Linked DNA regions of Oryzias latipes. The protein of the gene in region 1 binds, or shares a complex with, the protein of each later gene. Links are inferred from orthologs where the notes say so. Each region holds a gene or a part of one and is shown in the gene's direction. Other genes may lie near its edges.

What was found.
Region 2: pole2 (region 1) and pole4 share a complex: the UniProt entries of both Homo sapiens proteins name them as parts of the DNA polymerase epsilon complex. The link is inferred for Oryzias latipes from reciprocal best matches to the Homo sapiens genes POLE2 and POLE4.

Annotation. Positions count from the first base shown.
Region 1 is NC_019880.2:6,714,077-6,720,956, reverse strand, and holds the end of pole2 (DNA polymerase epsilon subunit 2), read left to right. Parts: intron 1-122; coding exon 123-223; intron 224-473; coding exon 474-549; intron 550-762; coding exon 763-840; intron 841-950; coding exon 951-1,044; intron 1,045-1,124; coding exon 1,125-1,199; intron 1,200-1,304; coding exon 1,305-1,388; intron 1,389-1,496; coding exon 1,497-1,553; intron 1,554-1,644; coding exon 1,645-1,693; intron 1,694-1,771; coding exon 1,772-1,844; intron 1,845-2,650; coding exon 2,651-2,823; intron 2,824-2,896; coding exon 2,897-2,986; intron 2,987-3,846; coding exon 3,847-3,901; intron 3,902-3,974; coding exon 3,975-4,034; intron 4,035-4,122; coding exon 4,123-4,200; intron 4,201-4,296; coding exon 4,297-4,405; intron 4,406-4,549; coding exon 4,550-4,726; intron 4,727-4,839; coding exon 4,840-4,907; intron 4,908-4,993; coding exon 4,994-5,012; 3' UTR 5,013-5,149; downstream 5,150-6,880. UniProt on the Homo sapiens protein: Accessory component of the DNA polymerase epsilon complex. Participates in DNA repair and in chromosomal DNA replication.
Region 2 is NC_019862.2:30,735,958-30,747,867, reverse strand, and holds pole4 (DNA polymerase epsilon subunit 4), read left to right. Parts: upstream 1-5,126; 5' UTR 5,127-5,298; coding exon 5,299-5,532; intron 5,533-5,668; coding exon 5,669-5,753; intron 5,754-7,049; coding exon 7,050-7,091; intron 7,092-7,203; coding exon 7,204-7,217; 3' UTR 7,218-7,374; downstream 7,375-11,910. Other genes in the region: serine/threonine-protein kinase NIM1-like, read right to left, coding at 1-19, 283-585, 3,577-3,598. UniProt on the Homo sapiens protein: Accessory component of the DNA polymerase epsilon complex. Participates in DNA repair and in chromosomal DNA replication.

The DNA of each region.
Region 1 (6,880 bases):
TTATAGTAGTATCGACTACAGAACCTCATTGTACTTTTGTTCATTTTCTTCTTTAGGTTTATTATGTGTTTTTATGAGGTTGTGTTGTTGTATAGGATTTTTAGTTTTTCTCTCCTCTCCAGTGAAGCCAGTCGGTATCTTGCTGAAGTCCTGGAATCAGTCAATGTCTCTGAACTTGAGGATGTCATTGAGAAGGTGCTGGATTCGGTGGAGAAGCAGCCGTGTAAGTGTACTTCAGTCACTTTCTGCAAGTCTCTGTGTATTTTTGGTGTACCGATGAGGAAAAATGGATCATGTGTTCAATCTGGAAGATCTTCATCACACATTTAGTGCTGAAGATTATCCAGCTGACAATGCCTAGAAGTTGTGTTTTGGCATCTAGACTTAATGTCTTCTCTTCTGGAAACATCTTGACACTCTTCACTTCCAAGTAGCTTCAGCTGATTTATGTGTTTGTTTTTTATTACCAACAGTGTCCTCGAATATGATCGAGCTGGCTGTGGTAGAAAGTGCTGTACAGGACTGCACCCAGTCATGTGATGAAACCATGTAAGAAACGTTTATCAATTAGAACAGAAAATATAAAACGTTTTTCTTAAATTTATTTCTTTATTGTTCTTGTTGTTACGAGATATTCTGTCTGTGTCACTGTAATGTGAACTGCTGCAAAACTGTGCTTTGTTTTTGTGATAAATTAAACTAAATAAAATGTTTGCTACAGTTTGTGGTCATTAAATAATATTAATTTGAATTCTTTTGCAGTGACAATATTTTTAACATCATTGGAGCCTTTGACGTGCCCAGATACATTTACAGCGTGGAGAGAAAGAAATTTCTACCGTGAGCTTTTCTTTTTTCTTCTTCTTTCTATTTACAGGAGTCTGATTTGAGTGTTTTGGTGTTGCCACATTTTTGTGTTTTGCTACACTTGTATTTCCTTTTTCTTGCAGCATCAATATGACCGGTCATCCAGCTCCCAGTCTGTGTGGTTCTGCCAAAGACAAAGCGGAACTTTTCAGGGAGCGCTATACAATCTTACAGCAGGTACGTCACAATAACTGGATTACGCTGTTCTGTTCTGCAGGTATGCTCATGCTCACATTTATTTGTTTTCGTTTTTTAAGCGCACACACCGTCATGAGCTCTTCACCCCACCAGCAATTGGAGCTGCTGTTGAAGAGGGTCAAAATAAATTTCAGGTAAAGGAAACGTATACCAATCTAAAAATGACCAAAGTATTATTTTGTTTAAGAGTTGAAACCATTTGTGTGGCTACTAATGTACCTCTTTTCTTGTTTGTGTAGCTCAAGACAATTGAAGCGTTGCTCGGGAGCACATCTAAGCTTGGGGAGGTGATCGTACTCGGGATGATCACACAACTTAAAGAGGTTAGATAAGAAACTTTTGAACTGATTTTTTCAATCGCTAACAAGATGAGATTTATTTAAGATGAACCTTTTTTTTTTTTTTGGCCCAATTTGTTTTTATGTTTAAAGGGTAAATTTTACCTCGAAGATCCAAGTGGAACCGTACAGCTGGATTTGTCCAAGGCAATATCCTTTGAAAGACTTTAGGGTTTGCCACTAAAAAAAAAAGTTTATTACAATTGCAAAGAAACATTTTCCTGAGCACTATTTTTTTTACCAGTTCCATAATGGCCTCTATACAGAGTCCTGCTTTGTTTTGGCAGAAGGTAAGACTAATTCTGTTTAACTCCACAGCTTTGGAAAGGTGTGGAGCTAAAATAAAAGGGTTCCTGTTTGTTCTGCAGGGTGGTACGAGGATTCTGTTCTTCATGTCAATGGCTTTGGTTTCCCCCCAACAGAGCCGTCATCGGCGACCAGGTAAACCTGCGGACTCGAATTTCTGTTCAGTAATTCCACGTTTATCACGGGAGTTACTTTCTAATGATAGACAAACTAAACTAAACCCAGTCAATTTAAATATTTTAAGGCTATAAAATGTCTCACAACACACTTTTGTGCACTTTTCTCAGACAGACATGAACATTTTGACGCTTTTCTTTCTTGTTTAAACTCTGAGTTTAAACCTTCATAGAAAATGAAGTCCAATATTATATAGAATGACCCCAAATATCTGATTAGGATTTATGTAACTCTGACGAACTGAAGACTTTCTGTACAGGAGACGCAGCACAAAGACAAAGAGACAAACATTTTCTAATCAATTTATTCTTTATATCTGAAATGTTTTTTATGTGTCTTTATTCAGTCTTTTTTTTATTGAAATTAATTAATTAATCAATCAATCAAATCAGATTTGATGATGTTCTACAGCCAATCAGGACATAGAAAGCAATGCACCGCAAAAAAAAAATCAATACAAAGACAAAAGCATTAAAAGTGACCTGTAGTTAAGTGAGGGACGACTGCTGTTAGGGCGGCCAGCAACTTTTAATAAATGTGCAGGTAATGAAGGAAACTATAGAAGCACAATCAAGACAAGTCAAGCAGACCGTTAAGAGGAGCTACATTTACATTTTTATTGCTTTTTCAAAATAGTTTGAAATTAGAAAGAATCCAGTTCTAAATGTTAGAAATAATTTAAAGGATGGTTTTTATGAAAGCACAGTTGGTGCAGGGGGATTTGTTTCTCCCATACCATAATATACTGTCTGCATAAACTCCAGGTCGTACTACGGCAACATAAACTTCTTTGGCGGTCCATCGTCCACGTCCGTCAAGGCTTCCTCCAAGCTCAAGCAGCTGGAGGAAGAGAACGAAGATGCCATGTTTGTGATCGTCTCTGACGTCTGGCTGGACAGCGTAGAAGTGATGGAAAAGCTCAACATCATGTTTTCAGGTAAAGCAGAATTTCACAGAACAATATTCTATTCTTCATGGGCTTCACGTTGTTATTGTTTTTCTCTGTTTAGGATATGCTGCAATGCCTCCTACCTGCTTCATTTTGTGTGGAAACTTCTCTTCGGCCCCATATGGAAAAACACAGAATAGATCGCTGAAAGGTGAGCCTCTTTTGGCTGCATGCTTGGTAAAGAATGAGAGCTTTTTCTCCCTTTTAAATGGGGTTCTGTTATTTTCCTTTGCCTTGTTTCTGTCCCGCATTTAGTGCTTTAACAATTTAGTGATGCTGGCTGCTCGTAAACATACTTGTAGTACCATATTTTTATGCTTCATAGGGGCCAGATGTGAAACTAAGGACTTATTTTTGATTGTGTAATTTATTTTTTATGGTTACCGGTACTAATCTGCTGTTTTTATTTATTTATTTATTCTTTTTACAGCTATGTTGTCTCTTACATTTCCCTTAAACGGGATTAATAAAAGTTCGATTCTAAAGATGAAAAACGATTGAACATGTATTTTGATGCCATTGCAAGTCAACCAAGTTTTGTCGGTTTGAATAGTTATGCCGTAATTGCATGTTACAATAAACATATATATTTTATTATTTCAAAGGTGGATTTTTGCAGTGCAAAGGAACACTAAACTGTAAAATTTTGCTTGAAGAAAGGGGAATTAAGGAACTGAAAAACAAAAGCAGTTCTGTGAATATGAGCTATTAATAGAAAAAAAAGCTCACTTTCAATCTTAAACTAATATAATCAAATAAGTGTATCAGTAAAGCTTATTCATAATTTTCACTTATGACCTTTCAAAACAGTAAGGTCAAATATTACCATAGGCATCTAAATATTAAAGAGTGAATTTGTTAAAATACAAAAATAAAATAGATGCACCACAAAGGGGGGATTGGTTCTAAACATGGATAAAATAAATGAAAACGAACATTTTGAATGAATGAACATTGTAAAAATTTGTGCAGACGTCAATCAATAATATTTGTCTTTTGTTTTTCTATTAGAATCCCTGAAAGCCCTGGCTGACATGATCTGTACATATCCCAGCATTCACAGCAGGTAGGATTTGACCCTTTTCTCTGAGTCATACTCTGCGTTCCAGTTTAAACGCCGACTCATCTAAACCCTGCAGTAGTCGCTTCGTGTTCGTTCCGGGTCCTGAGGACCCCGGTCCAGCAAACATCCTGCCGAGGTGAATCTTCAGAATCATTTTTTAGAACTGAGGAAGCTGACATTTTGATCCGAGTTCTGGACAAACATCTCTTGTAAATATATTTTAGGCCCCCCCTGGTACAAAACATCACAGAGGAGTTCAGTGAGAGAGTGCCATTCTCAGTTTTTACCACCAACCCATGCAGGTAAAACATACAGTTCCACTCATAGATGTTAACTGTCTACATAAAATGAGTTTGTCATGTTAAACTATGATAAAAACGGACTTTTGTTCTGACCAGGATCCAGTACTGCAGCCAGGAGATCCTAGTGATCAGAGAGGATCTTGTTAACAAGATGTGCAGGAATTGCATCAGGTTACCCAACAGTAACCTTGACATCCCAAACCATGTACGTTTCATGTCATCTCTGTAAGCTTTTGTCCCTCTGGTACATTCGGCTATCAGTTTATTTTTTTTAATTATCTAAATATATATGTTGTACATTTATGATGTTGCTTCAGGCGATGATGTCTTCCTCTTTTCTTTCTCACAGTTTGTTAAGACGATCCTGTCTCAGGGTCATTTGACTCCGCTGCCTTTGTACGTCAGTCCTGTGTTCTGGGCCTATGACTACTCCCTGCGCGTCTACCCGGTGCCTGATGTCGTTGTCTTTGCAGACAAGTACGACCCCTTCACCATCACCAACACTGACTGCCTCAGTGTCAACCCGGTATGAGACTGAAGAATCCTCAATAGTCTTTTGTTTTATTTTTCCTCATTTTTCTAGGTACTTATATTACCCTTTAGTTATTTGAAATGTCTAACAAATGTTTATTTCTGCAGGGCTCATTCCCTAAAAGCGGCTTCACATTCAAGGTGTATTACCCGTCCAACAAAACTGTAGAGGACAGGTGAGACACAGTCATATTTTTCTATTTACATAAGCTTTCTTTGACTGTTATAGTGTTTACACTAAACATTTCCTTTGTCTTTACAGTAAACTCCAAGGACTCTAAAGAAAAAGAAGAGTTTACCTGGCTTACTGTTGTGTGCATAACTCTGTAGATACTTTTAGATGATTTGTAATCAAAAGATTTTAATGTTTTTTTCTTTGTTCTGTCATGAATAATAAAGTTTTATTACTTTTGGTGAATATTCTGATCTTTATGTGAAGAGATTATAGTCAGGAATACTTCGTGCAAACTGCCTTAAAAATGCAAAACCAAACAAAAGTTTGTCTTAAAATTTTAAACTAATTTAAAAATATATATATATTTTGCGCAAAGTCTTTACAGGGAAAATATAGTTTGACATTTCTATTGACATCAGCAGTGTAAAAATACGACAAGAAATTAAAGTTTCATCGCTATCCTGCAGGAAATGTTTTCTCTGAGACTTTGACATTGCCCAATTTTAAATACGCTTGCAATCTACTCTGTATTTGTTTTACTTTTCAGGATCAGTTTAGCTAACAATCAAGTTTAAAAAAAAGGGCTAACTTTTATTTTCAAAATTTTTATGCAAAAAAACAAAGATGATTAACCTTTTGCACAGAAAAAGAAAGGAACTATTGCAATAGCAACATTACCTTACTACTATCGGTACTACTAGTACTTTCTAGAGATTCACATATGTAACAACTTAAATAGTTTCTCAGGTTATTTTAACATTATATTTTAATTTATTTATTTTACTTGACAGATAAACAGCTGCCCTTCCATTACAAGATGACATTTTATTACAGGGAAACGGCTTTATTGGGAAAATTAGAACGAAGAAGAATTGGAAGAATTAGAAATGGTTTTATTTTGAAATTATTTGCATTGTTTTATAGCATTTCGAGCGGCGTTTATGGCTAATGTTGTGTGTCTTCAATTAGGAGAATATGCTACAGAAGTCATTTGGAACGAACTCCAATTAAATAAATCCAAATTGAATGTTCATGTTCCTCGCTTTTCATTTTTTTAAATGTAAACTGTAAGATCTGTTGACTTCCGGTCTGCTAGGTTAATCATTTCCGGTGAACCTCTTCTAGCAGGTCTCCTCATTGTAATGGTGGAGCCTTTTTGATATTTACAGGAAATAAAAATTACTCATAAGGTAGGTTTATTATTCATAGACATAACTATTGTTCTGTGGTTAAAAAATATTGGTTACATTCGTCATCAAAATTCCCAAAAATACGTTAGAGTCGAAAATTGGAATTTGCTTTGTTTTTAGCATACAAATAAACGCTCTGAAGCTCAAAAGAAAGAAGCTTTTGATCAAATTAGAGGCTTTATCAGTAGTTAATTTGACGAATCTTATTACTTTAAAGAAATAATTTGGGTGCAAAAGCTTTCTGAACTTGTATGAGTGGATCATCGATCGTCTGTAGATGTTAGCTGTTAGCATAGTAACCTAAATAGTTAAGCTGGCAAAGTAGGTCAGAATGATGTAGCTGCTTTGGCGCTGTTTTCTTTGTTTTTTTGTGTAGTTTTCTTTAAAGAAAAACACATTTGCACTTAATTTGAACAAAAGAATAGTTTTTTTCTGAATAATATTCGCCTCATGTTCGGGGAAATGTTTGTGTCCAAGTACTCTAAATCTAATCCACCCCGCCCTCAAAGCCAAAACATTTTTGATCAAAAAAGTAGTCTTTGTTTAATTAATTGCCTAAATTTTTTTTTCTTAATTTTTTGATAAGTCAACTTGCCTACATTTCTTATCTTTTGTTTCATCATTTTGCTTTTATTTTGGGCAATTTTGAAGGAACATGTCAGGCATACTTCTCATGGCTGCGTTTGCTCTTTAGGTTAGTTTGTATTTTTATGGTATTGTTTGATTTGAATTTTTAGAAAATTTACATGTTGGTACCTAACATGTATAGCTGTCTAAATAAAAT
Region 2 (11,910 bases), on another chromosome or scaffold:
ATTTTAACGGCGACTCTTTCTATAAAAAGACGGAGGATTAAAGTCAGTGACGGACTTAAAACAGACTCCTGAGGTGAAAGGGGTCGAGCGGGGGCAGAAGCTTATTGGTGAAGAACACACAGACACCGTTTCCATGGAAACGTTCATTTTCAAATGAAAGATGGTACATTTCTTTATGTTAGATGCTGAGAATTGCTGCTGCAGAAGACAAATTGCAAGAATGAGAATGCCAGTCAGAACAAAAAGGATAAGGATGCAACCAATGACCAGGGGTACCTTTACCTTTTGTTAAGGCGTGGATGCCCAGCTTTACAGTAGAGAAGTTACCCTGACCGATCTCCCCCCGCAGCTCATAGAAACTGACTCTTCGCCCCAGAATCAGCTCGTTGACGACCCTGTCGTTGTGGGCCATGTCGTAAATCACCCTTTCCAGGGGGGTCTGCTTCAGTCTCTCGGCCTCCGTCAGCTGTGGGACGGCACCGGCGGCAGAAGAGGGAGAAAGCAGGGCAGGTTTGTCCGCCTTCGCCGTCTGATCCTTGGATTTTTTCCACATTTTGTGCTTTGGCCATAACCGCGCGTTGACAGCTTTAAAACAAGAGAGGGCGAGAATTCAGACCAAACAGCTGAGGAGCTGCAGGAATAAAATAAAAAAACAGCGTTTGTTAATAACTGCAAATAAAGTAGAATTATATCCAAAAAACTCTCATTCAAGACAAGATTTCTGCTTTGTATTACTTCTTAATAAACTTTCGAAAAACTGTAATTAAAAATAATAAAGAGGACTGAAATGAACCCTATATTCATTCATCCTCTGATCCGTTTTGTTCCTCTCGGGGTCACGGGGCTGCCGGAGGATCCAAATATCCAATTAAAGATCCAAACTTTCCTTCAAAATTTACTTGTTCATAACTTGGGTTGCTTTAGAATTCCGTCACTGCTCGCTACCATTTTGTACTGCTGTCGGGATCTAAGGTTCCAAAATGGAGTGCCCTGGAATTTTCCCAGAAGTCTCTGCGAAAAAACCAGTGTGCACCAATAAATGGCCACCGATCCTCACTAGATTGGCAAAAATAAACCACAATACATTGAATTTAAATTATTTTTTATGTGAAAAAGTTGAGTTTTACTTTATTTTTCTGAAACTCTCCTAGTTTTCGTCATTAGTGGATTCATGAAATGTTCATGTTTATTAGGTTTTACTTCTAGAAATCGATGACGTCATATTTGCCATTAAAAAAAAAGCAGTGGTGTCCGAATTGCTTTTAGAATCCAGTTAACTAGAAAGTCCCGCACTATATGTTTTTTCTAGTAGTTAGGTAGTAGGGAGGGAATTTGGAAATTGTCTGAGTCCAATGTTTTCTGCCCTGTAACTCAAAGTCAGTCCACTCGGGGCAGTAGAAGGGCTTTTTCTGTTCATTTCAAAATGAATACTTTCATGAATGAATCCCATCGAGACGACTGTTGTTGTGATTTTTGGCTATACAAATAAAATTGAATTGAATGAAATCAATTGACTGTATATGAGAACTGGACTGAGTGACTCCTCCCTTCTGGCGTTCCAAACAGGAAGTACCTACTGGCTCCCAGGAGCCAAAATCCCTTAGACTTCTGCAAAGAACTAAACAGCTGTTACTCAGTCGTTCAATTCAATTCTATTAGTCTTATCTCAAATATTCAAGTTATGAACTGACCAATCAGATGCCTCAGGTGCCCGCTGGCCCCCACCTTGAACGTTTGATTGAGAGATTCTCACAAGCCCGCCTTCAGTGGAAGGGTGGTGGACTTCAAACATTCTCACTCCTGATTGGAGACAGCGGTTGCCATAGAAACGTCGACTCAGACCGACTTGGACCAATCACCACCGTCGTCCGGCTCCAGCATGGCGACGTCCGCACCGCAGACAAATGGCGTCTGATTTGGCTTCGTTTGGCTGGAGCCGGAAGTAAGGCAGTGACTTTCTATGGGCGATATCACACTCGCTCAGTCCAGTCCTTTTCTACAGTCGTAGGTGAAATCTCAAAAAGAGTTTTTGCGGGAAATGTTTTATTTTCAAAACTTTATGGTGACAATGACTGATGTATTGTTATTCATTTGTTTTACATTACTACTTGGTGTATTCAAAGAAAGCTGCATTTGTTGATAATTCATTTTTGATAGTTAAGTCACAGCACGGTGGATCAAATATGAGACAGTGGGTAAATTAGGGGATTTTGTCCTTAACAAACTAATATTGTTGTGAGCAAAAACTGAATAATGACCTAACAAATCCTAATTGGTACTATTAATATCACAAATAATTAGATTGCAATTTTATCAAAAACATCTTAACCCCCCCCCCGTTCTTTAATCCAGAGGATTTACGGGGTTAAATAAGAAAACACCCTGAGATTCCTGTCTGCATTTTATTGTTCCCAATTGTCAAATGTCTGACACCACACAGCAGCCCAAAGCCATTTTTTGAAGATTTAAAATCCCTTCATTCTGGACTTGTGGGTCAGAACATTAGCTGGAAACTTCTCTGCTCCTTATTTCCAGATCTGATTCTTGGACTGAGATCTATGTCTTTCCGGGCCTTCGTTCTTCTCTCCCTGCACAATAGTTTCTCTCTTTTTGCCAACTTTACGGCGAGTTTCCTGCCGTTTTCCAGGAAACGGCTGATTGCAGCAGGATTAAATAAAGAGCCGTGGCTGCAGGGTCAAAGCTGCTCTGCTCGTGTGCCAGAAAACCTTCAGAATAACAGAGCAGCGCTTTTTTGCAGGTTTCAAACTAAGTCTGCTGTCTGTACTGTGATGGTAGCGTGCCACCTCCAGGGCAATGTGGGTTAAATTTAGCACAGGGCTGGCTAAAGTCCTGGAATGGCTTGGATTACTTGCTTCTTTTAGTCTGAGTATTAGTGAGCCACTTCTGTTTGGAGAAAGCCATTCAGACGATTACTTGAGAAAACCTGAAATAAGGTCACAGTCAGAAACCCCTTAAGTCATAAATACAGTAGCATATGAGTATAGCACTGCTGTCATTTTGTCCATAAACCTGGAAATAAATAAAAGCAATAACTGATGTTTCAATATTTGCATTTCACAATAAAGAATAAAACGTTCTGGACTCTCTGTGAAGATAAAAAACTTAAATCAGACGACCTTTTGAAGTCTTTTTCTACTTCAGAACCATCCTGGATGGATGAGAGTTTTAATAGACAAAATGTTTTCACTATAAGTTTAACTCAGATAAAATAATGTCACTTGTTTCAACTTTACAATAAACTCATCCACCGAATAAGTAAATGCATGAATTGAAAACTGTCCATTTATAAATCTGAGCGTTATTTCTATAAAATTAATCTAATTTGCAGTTGTCATCGACTGTATAGCATCGAAGAAAAACTTGTAACTAATGTTGAAATGCAAGTTAAAAGCATTTGATGTTCTTACAATTACTTTTGCTTTTTATTAAATATGACAAATAAGAAAAATAATGCAACCTTTAAACAATTTCTAAGCAAGTAATGAATCACATCCAACCACTTTTCACTGTTAAAAAAATAAATTAAAAAAGTAGATAAAATTGCTTTAAAGTTACCTGGATTTTGTGGATCCTTCATCTCCGTCGCGGCCGCTCTAATACCTGACTGTGACCAAACGTGAAGGAGCTTCAGAGGCTCAATCGCTCCTCACAATCCTATTAATGCAGTGTATTAGGGAACTGCACATCATGTTCTCCGGAACGAACTGTCCCTCATGGAAAACGCTGAAATGATCATTTCAATGCCTGAACCGCAGTCGATCACATTTATGCACTAAAGTCTGTTTCTTACTGTGAAATAAAATCAGATGACCTCAGAATGAGGCAGCACCGGATCTATTCTTTTTTTTTTAAAGTCAAATACATGAACACAAAAACATCCGCAGCAAAAGAAAAACATGTGAAAAAAACATTACATCATTTAAAGAAATTATATACATTTCTTTTTTGGTTTTAAATTTAAAAAATGGGAAAAATGAGAAAAGGGGTTTCTGTCCTCGTCATTTATTTTCTTTACAAAAAAAATTAAAAAGGAATAAATCAAGCGAATATATATTTTTAAACATATTTTTAAATTAGACCCCAAAGTTGAGGAGAAGTTATATCTACCTGCAGCCCCCATGTATAGCAATCAAATGCAGTGTCGTTAACAGCCTGCAGGGCGGAGCTCTTCGGAGTGCAAAGTTAAAAAAAACAACTGCAAAGTTTCTTGTTTCTAATATTGGCATTTGAACATATTATCTGTCATTTCCTAAGCATTATTCTATACACAATAATTCTAAAGGAAATAAGAGGCTGCAGAATTGTATTTTGTGTGTCTGAGCAACAGAAAACCAACATTTTTATGTTTATACAATTGAAATTAAAATGGCTAAATACAGTCTGTTTCATTGCAAAACACTTTCCTCTTAAAAAAAGGTAAAGAGTTTAGAGGCAACAGCACAGCAGTTCTGATAAAGTCTTTTTTCTTTTCTTGAGTAAAAAACACATGTTTAAATATAGATGCTCAATAAAATGACCAAAAAAAAGTTAAAGAAATGTCTTCTGACAACATAATTGAAAAATATTTACAGTTTTCATAAAACTTAATTTGCGTTTTCTTTGCAACATTTTAACTTTTTTATTGGGTATGCAAAATTAGGGGCAATGTACAGTAAGGAAACTTTAAATAAAAACAGATTAAATGAAAAAATAAAATACATAATAATCAAAAGAAAAGAGTACCAGATATTTTCAAACCGTTTTTGTCAGGTAGTTTCGGGAGTAATTTTTAAATTTCTCTTTGTTTAGATTGTTGCTTTTAACAGCTTTATATTTAGCTTCACTTTGCTGCCACCTTGTGGACATTTTGTTTATTGGTGTTTTGTTAATTTATTTTTAACCCACTTTTTTCTTTTATCTACTAATCTTAATGAAAAGATTAAATTATATTCACCAAATTTATTTGAAAGAGTCTTACAGCTGATAAACATTTGACTGAGCCACTGAGTTGTCGGTAGTTGGGCGGTAACATTGTTTGAGTGGCAGTCACGTTTGACCAATCATACGGCTTTGTTGTCCAATCTGTCCAATCATTGACTTGAAAGCGTTGGCGGGACCAAAGGAAACTGACCAATAGGGATGCAGTGCCTCTACTAGACCGGAAGCACATGCTGGCGCGCTGCTGTTCGCCTTCGTTTGTTACTTTTATCTTTGTCATGAAGTTAGAAAGCTTAATAAATATCCGCGCGTCTGTTTTTTGATCACTTTTTGGTGGGGGGGAAAATAACTCCCCGTTCAATGGCAGCGCTCGTCTCCTCTACGGAGCAGGAGTCTGACAGGTGCGGGAGTGAGGAGGAGAACCGCGGAGTGGAAGCGGGGGACGGGGGCCAGCAGCAGCAGACGGGTCCCGCCGCACCCGGCGGCAGCCGCCTGTCCAAACTCCCGCTGGCTCGCATCAAAGCCCTGATGAAAACCGACCCAGACGTGTCCCTCGCCAGCCAAGAGTCTGTGTTTATCATCGCCAAAGCCACGGTGAGTCCCTGAACCCGCAGCCCGCTCCGCGAGGAGAAGGTTCGGCCCCGCACGGCACCATGGGATGCTATGATGGTCAGAGGTGATGATGATGATGATGATGATGATGGTGATGTTTCTCTCTTCTTCCTACCAGGAGTTGTTCGTTGAGATGATCGCCAAAGATGCTCTGGTTTACGCCCAGCAAGGGAAGAGGAAAACTCTGCAGAGGAAGGACCTGGGTAAGGCCTGAGGACGCTCCACATCTCTGCATTGTGCTCGATATTTGCCGAACTAGTGAGCATCATTTTCGCAGAGACTTCTGGGAAGTTTCTAGGGCACTGGAGTTTGGAATTGTAGGTTGTGTCCAAATTCCTTCCCTACTCACCAGATAACGCATTCGCCATGTTGTAGTGCTGTCTGAATCTACAATCTCCCAAATCCAGAGTCCTAGAAATTTCCCAGAAGTCTCTGCCAAAAACCAGCGTGCATCAATGCTCACTAGATCAGCGAATATAGACCACAATGCATTGCGTCGGAACGATTTTTGCCAAAAAATGTATTTTTTGTTAAACTATCAACATTTTTATCTTCAGAAGACATAATAAATAATCGTCATAAAACGCTCATATTAATTAGATTTTAACTTTGTGGAATCGATATTTGAAGCAGTGAGCCTGGTCTCCGAATTTCTTTTCAAATCCAGGGCACTACATAGAGCCGCTCTATAGTTTTTTAGTAGTTAGGGGTTAGGGCGGGAATTCAGAAACAACCTATAAATCAAACCAGAGTATAAGTCAAATAATAATGATAAAAAAGAAGAAATAATTATGTAGAAGTCGCACTTTGGGGAGAAATTAATTTAACAAAACACGGTAAAAAATACCAGACATTTCATCTTAAAATAAATAGCAGGTATAGACTGAATATTTACAACTTCACTACTGTAAAAGTATTTAGTTTGATGACAAATAGGAGGAATCTATTCAAATTAGTGAAACATATGAACAGTTGTTCAGATAACCATGACATAAAGAACATGCTAACAAGAGCGGCGTAAGACTGAGCGGCGCTTCTTCACTGTCAGTAACAAACATCTACAGAACACATCTGGCTCCAAACTCTGGATGGCTCCAATATCGCTCGCCATTTCTGTTGCACCGCTCATGCTAGGTTGAGGGGCTGTATGTAAGAGAGTATGTAAACAGAGAACTCTCAGACACGGTTAGGGAATGGGTTGCTATGGCCCAAGGCCCCGCCCACAACTCGCAGGTGAATTTCTACTGAACTCCTGCCACTCTACAGAAAATATGTCCACGAAACAACAAACAAACAAAAAACGGCATCATTATAATTGAAAGACGGTTTTGAAAATGGATCAACAGATGATCGGAGTGGGACAGTAGAATAAACAAATGAACATTAAATTCATTAAAATTCAAACATATTTAGTTTCTTTTTTGTGTTTCATTTGACAAACTTCAGTGGTTTCTCCTCCTGAGTTTCATTCGTTTGTTGTTGTTTTGTTGTCCCTGCAGACAACGCAATAGAGGCCGTAGACGAGTTTGCATTTCTTGAAGGTAAAAAAACCCACGTTCTTTCTGCACATGCATGTTACTGACAGCGTGTGCACAGGAACATTTCATTGACATGTTTGTGCATCCGGTAACTGTATCATTTTTTTCTCTGCAGGCACGCTGGACTAGAGACGACCGGCTTGACGGGCGGCGCGAGCGAGCGAGCGACTTCCTCCGGTCCGTTTGTGCAGAGACAAAAAGCTCTTCTGCTTAAGGACTCGTACATATGTACACTGTTGTGTAAATATTTTTGCTAAATTCACTGAAATAAATGCGTTTGAAACTACCGGTTTATTTCTAAAGTCATTCCTTGCTGCATTGTGGGTAAGGTTGGTTGCCAGCATCTTAAAATACATTTAGAATCGTTTTGATTAATAAAGTTTGAAGGAATTAAATTCTTGAACATTTTATAAAAAGAAAAGAAAACAACAGGTTTGTATTTTCAGACAGTCACAACATGATTCTGATTCATTTCCTTGATAAGTTTGTGTTTTCGGAAAGAAACAACTAAAAACTTCCTAAAAGGGTTCAAATCTAAACTGTAAACACCTAAACCTTTATGTTTTATGGACGCTGGATCCTTGGATGCCAGTACTTTATATTAGCTATTGTGAGTCGAAAGTATATTTGGGCTGAGAACATACATGTTTATGTGAAATAAACAGGCCGTCATAGTTTTTGACTTCAGAGTAAAGTCCTGAAATATTGGAATATTTGTTTTTAAAATGGGAATTGGTTCATTTCAAGGAAACAAAAACTTAAGAAAACACACAAAATGATAGATATAGATAAAACTAACTTAAGACAAGTCATGAACTAATAGTAATATAAAAATTACAGAGGAAAATAATAGAAATGCATAGTTTTAAGTATACAAGCATGTGTAAATGACATCATAAATATAATAATTTTCTTCCATACATATTCTACATGACTCATTTAATAGGATAAATATAGACTTTGGTAAATTGCTTAAGGAATGGGGCGAGGAGGGTTCATATTCCAAATAATAGCAAAGATGATTCCAAAAAAGACAAAATACATAATCACTTCAAGTAATAATAACATAAGGTGCTTATTGATTATGATCAGAAAAGATGATTAAATGAGTCCAGAATTCACGGCTGAACCACATGTGGTTATGATGTTAAATGAATGGTTCATATAGAAAGTTCATGAAACATTCATCCTTCTGGATTTTAATGATTTCCCTTTTATCTGTGAAAGCCTGAGTCAGGTGGAACCGTACAAAACGAACATTTTATTGATAGCAAAGCTGGTGGGATCTATGTGGTCTAGTTCTGCTCAATAAGTCGCAAATTTATCGTTATGGTGATATCTATCTGTGCAATACGCTTATCGCAAAAGATGGCGAAAATCACAATAAGAGGATACCGGTACTTGAAATGTGCTTAAACAAACTTATGGCACCTTGAAGTATTTAGTGAATCAAATAAATCCATTTACGCATTTGACCAATCAGATGAAGCCCTTTTATATTAGATGTTCACCTCCTATGCAGACTAGTTTCATTTGAAGTATAATTTAAGTTATTTTAACTCTTATTTAAATTAAACTGTAGCAGTGAAATGGAAATTATGTTTTTGGTTGTTTTGCTATTTGTTCATGTATCGCAAGTTATAGCGTCATCGCAATTTTGATCATTAATATCGCAAGTTTTCCTCATATCGTTCAGCCGTAACCCTTGTGCTATCCTAGGCACGTTGACGTTGGGAGTTGGGTCATCTAGACCCACTAGACAGTGCGCTGAACCTTTTTTCTTCAATGATTTGTGATCTTCACTGGTGTCCATGGATTACATGAAATCTTTCCACCTTTATCCACCTTTGTCATGGTAGGGAGAACACGTCAATGTAAAGATCGGGTCATCTGGACCCCACATGATAGCACAAGGGCTAATGTGGTCCCTTCTATTTGTACTTAGCACCTCTTTTTCCTCACAAGATGACAGTCGTCTTTGGGGAAACTGTTCAAATGTGCATCTCAGGCGATCTTCAGACCAGCAGGAGGAAAGGAAAAATAAAACATTAAAAAAACTACTGCAACAAAATATTCAAAGAAGATTAAGGAAAAAAGGAGTATTTATAGATTAAAAAGATTAGTAATTTTCTATTTGCCAAATTTCAGAACAAAAACAGGCGAACCGTATTTTAATTCAAGGAGTCAAGACCTGAAACAATCTGAACACAACAATTGAAGAAATCACCTTCAAAAAACGCATTTAAAAAATGCTGCTTCAACAATTCAACAAATGAACCGTGTTGACTGATTCCAGGCACGACTTAGAAAATTACAAATAAGACAATATCTGGGATATTCTAAGCAAAAGACTAGTCTAAAATTTCTTCTATATTGCAGAACATATATATATATATATATTTCCGGCTGGGTAGCTCGGTTGGTAAGGTGCAGGACTGTCATGCAGGAAACCCGGGTTCGATTCCCAGGGCGGAATGAACAATTAATGGCAATGAAAAATGGGGCAATTACCATGACAATGGAAATGGGGCAATTACCATAACAATGACGGGCAATTAACATCACCCAGTGAGGGTCCTTGGGCAAGACCCTTAATGCTACCGCCTACCTCACAACATGAGAGACAATGAACCACATGTCATGCCGGCTCAGACGTCGCCCGGCCAAACAAGGTCTGCGTCAGGTGCTGAGGGACCAGAGAACCCTGATGGAAAGTCGGCTACTGGGACAAGACGGAAATGGACTAGATGTGAGAACAAGGTTCTGTTAGAATGCTACTACTCAAGTAATCCCACCCAGAGGGGTTACATGCAGAGAATGTGGAATGAATGGATGCTTCGAAACCCACAATCAGGGCTAACTGCCAAACAACTGGTAGCCCAGTGCTCTAACATCCACAAACAGCAACTCCTATCACAACTTGAGATTGAAGCAATACAATACAATGCCATGGGAGAGCCAGAACAACAGGTCAGAGAGGAGGTTATACCACACTCCCACCCTGAGATTGGGTACACAGCCCCAACAACCACAATTACACTGAGCGAGGCAGCAACTGACCTGAAAGACAAGATCATGTCTACAATGAACACTAGGCAGCCCCGACACCAGCTACAACGGTTAAGTGATGTACCGCCTGAAAGTCTACTGGAAACTGTGAATGAAGCATTGAGGGCAATTCCTACCACAACCATCACAGAAACCAATGAAATGGTTTACACTTCAGCAGCAGTGATCCTTGAGATGCTTGGCTATAAGAGCAACCATGGAAGAAAACAATACCCACCATGGAAGCAACGGTTAGATTAGATTAGATTAGATTCAACTTTATTGTCACTGCACATGTAGGTACAAGGCAACGAAATGCAGTTGGCATCTAACCAGAAGTGCAATAAGCAGTAAGTACAGAATAAAGTTCTATAGGATGTACAATAACTATACAGGTTAGTATTATGGACATACTTTACAGATATTAATACTATAAGCACGATATACAGATAGGTGTACTATGAATATACTATACAGATGGGCTATGTAAAAGGGTATGAACACTATAGGCAGAACTATGAACATAATTTACAGTATTGCAATGGACAGTAAAGTGCATAGAAAATATTACAATGTGCAGATGGATTATACAGTGTTCCTGGATGAACAGACAGTAGTGCAAGTAATAAGTTACTGTTTTTGCTTGTTGTGAATAAATAAATGATTCAGAGTGTTGAAGAGGGGGGGAGGAGTCTATGGTGGTGTGTGTGTGGGGGGGGGGGGTGTTTTAGGGGTGTCAGAGGGAAGAGTTCAGCAAGGAGACAGCTTTAGGGAAAAAGCTGTTCCTGAATCTTGTGGTCCTTGTCCGGAGGCTCCTGAAACGCCTCCCGGAGGGGAGGAGGTTAAACAGTCCGTGGTCAGGGTGAGAGGAGTCCTTGAGAATGCTGCGAGCTCGACGTAGACAGCGTTTCCTCTGGATGTCCTCAAGAGCAGGAAGTGGTGTCCCTGTGATGCGCTGGGCAGTTTTCACCACCCTCTGCAGTGCCTTGCGGTCAGCCACTGAGCAGTTCCCGTACCAGACTGAGATGCAACCTGTTAGGGTGCTCTCGATCGCACACCGGTAAAAGTTCACCAGGATGGATGAAGACAGCTGGTTCTTCTTCAGTGTCCTGAGGAAGAAAAGGCGCTGGTGAGCCTTCTTGACCAGGCTGGAGGTGTTTGTGGCCCAGGACAGGTCCTCCGAGATGGTGGTTCCCAGGAACTTGAAGCTGGAAACACGTTCAACAACCATCCCGTTAATGTGGATGGGGTCATGAGTGCTTCCATTCTTCTTCCTGAAGTCCACAATGAGCTCCTTGGTCTTGTTGGTGTTGAGGAGCAGGTTATTGTCAGCACACCATGTGGCCAGGTGCTGTACCTCTTCCCTGTAGGCAGTCTCATCATTGTCACTGATGAGGCCAATCACCGTGGTGTCATCTGCAAACTTAATGATGGAGTTGGTTCCATGCACGGGCTTGCAGTCGTGGGTGTAAAGAGAGTAGAGGAATGGGCTCAGCACACAGCCCTGTGGTACGCCAGTATTAAGTGTGATGGTGGTGGAGTGGGTGTGACCTGACCGAACATGCTGAGGCCTGTTGGTCAGAAAGTCCATAATCCAGTTGCAGAGGGAGGTGTTGATTTCCAGGTCTCCAAGTTTTGTGGTCAGCTTGGAGGGAATGACGGTGTTAAATGCTGAGCTGAAGTCAACAAACAACATCCTAACATATGTGTTGTTATTGTCCAGGTGTGTGAGTGCAGAGTGCAGCACTGTGCATACTGCATCCTCTGTGCTCCT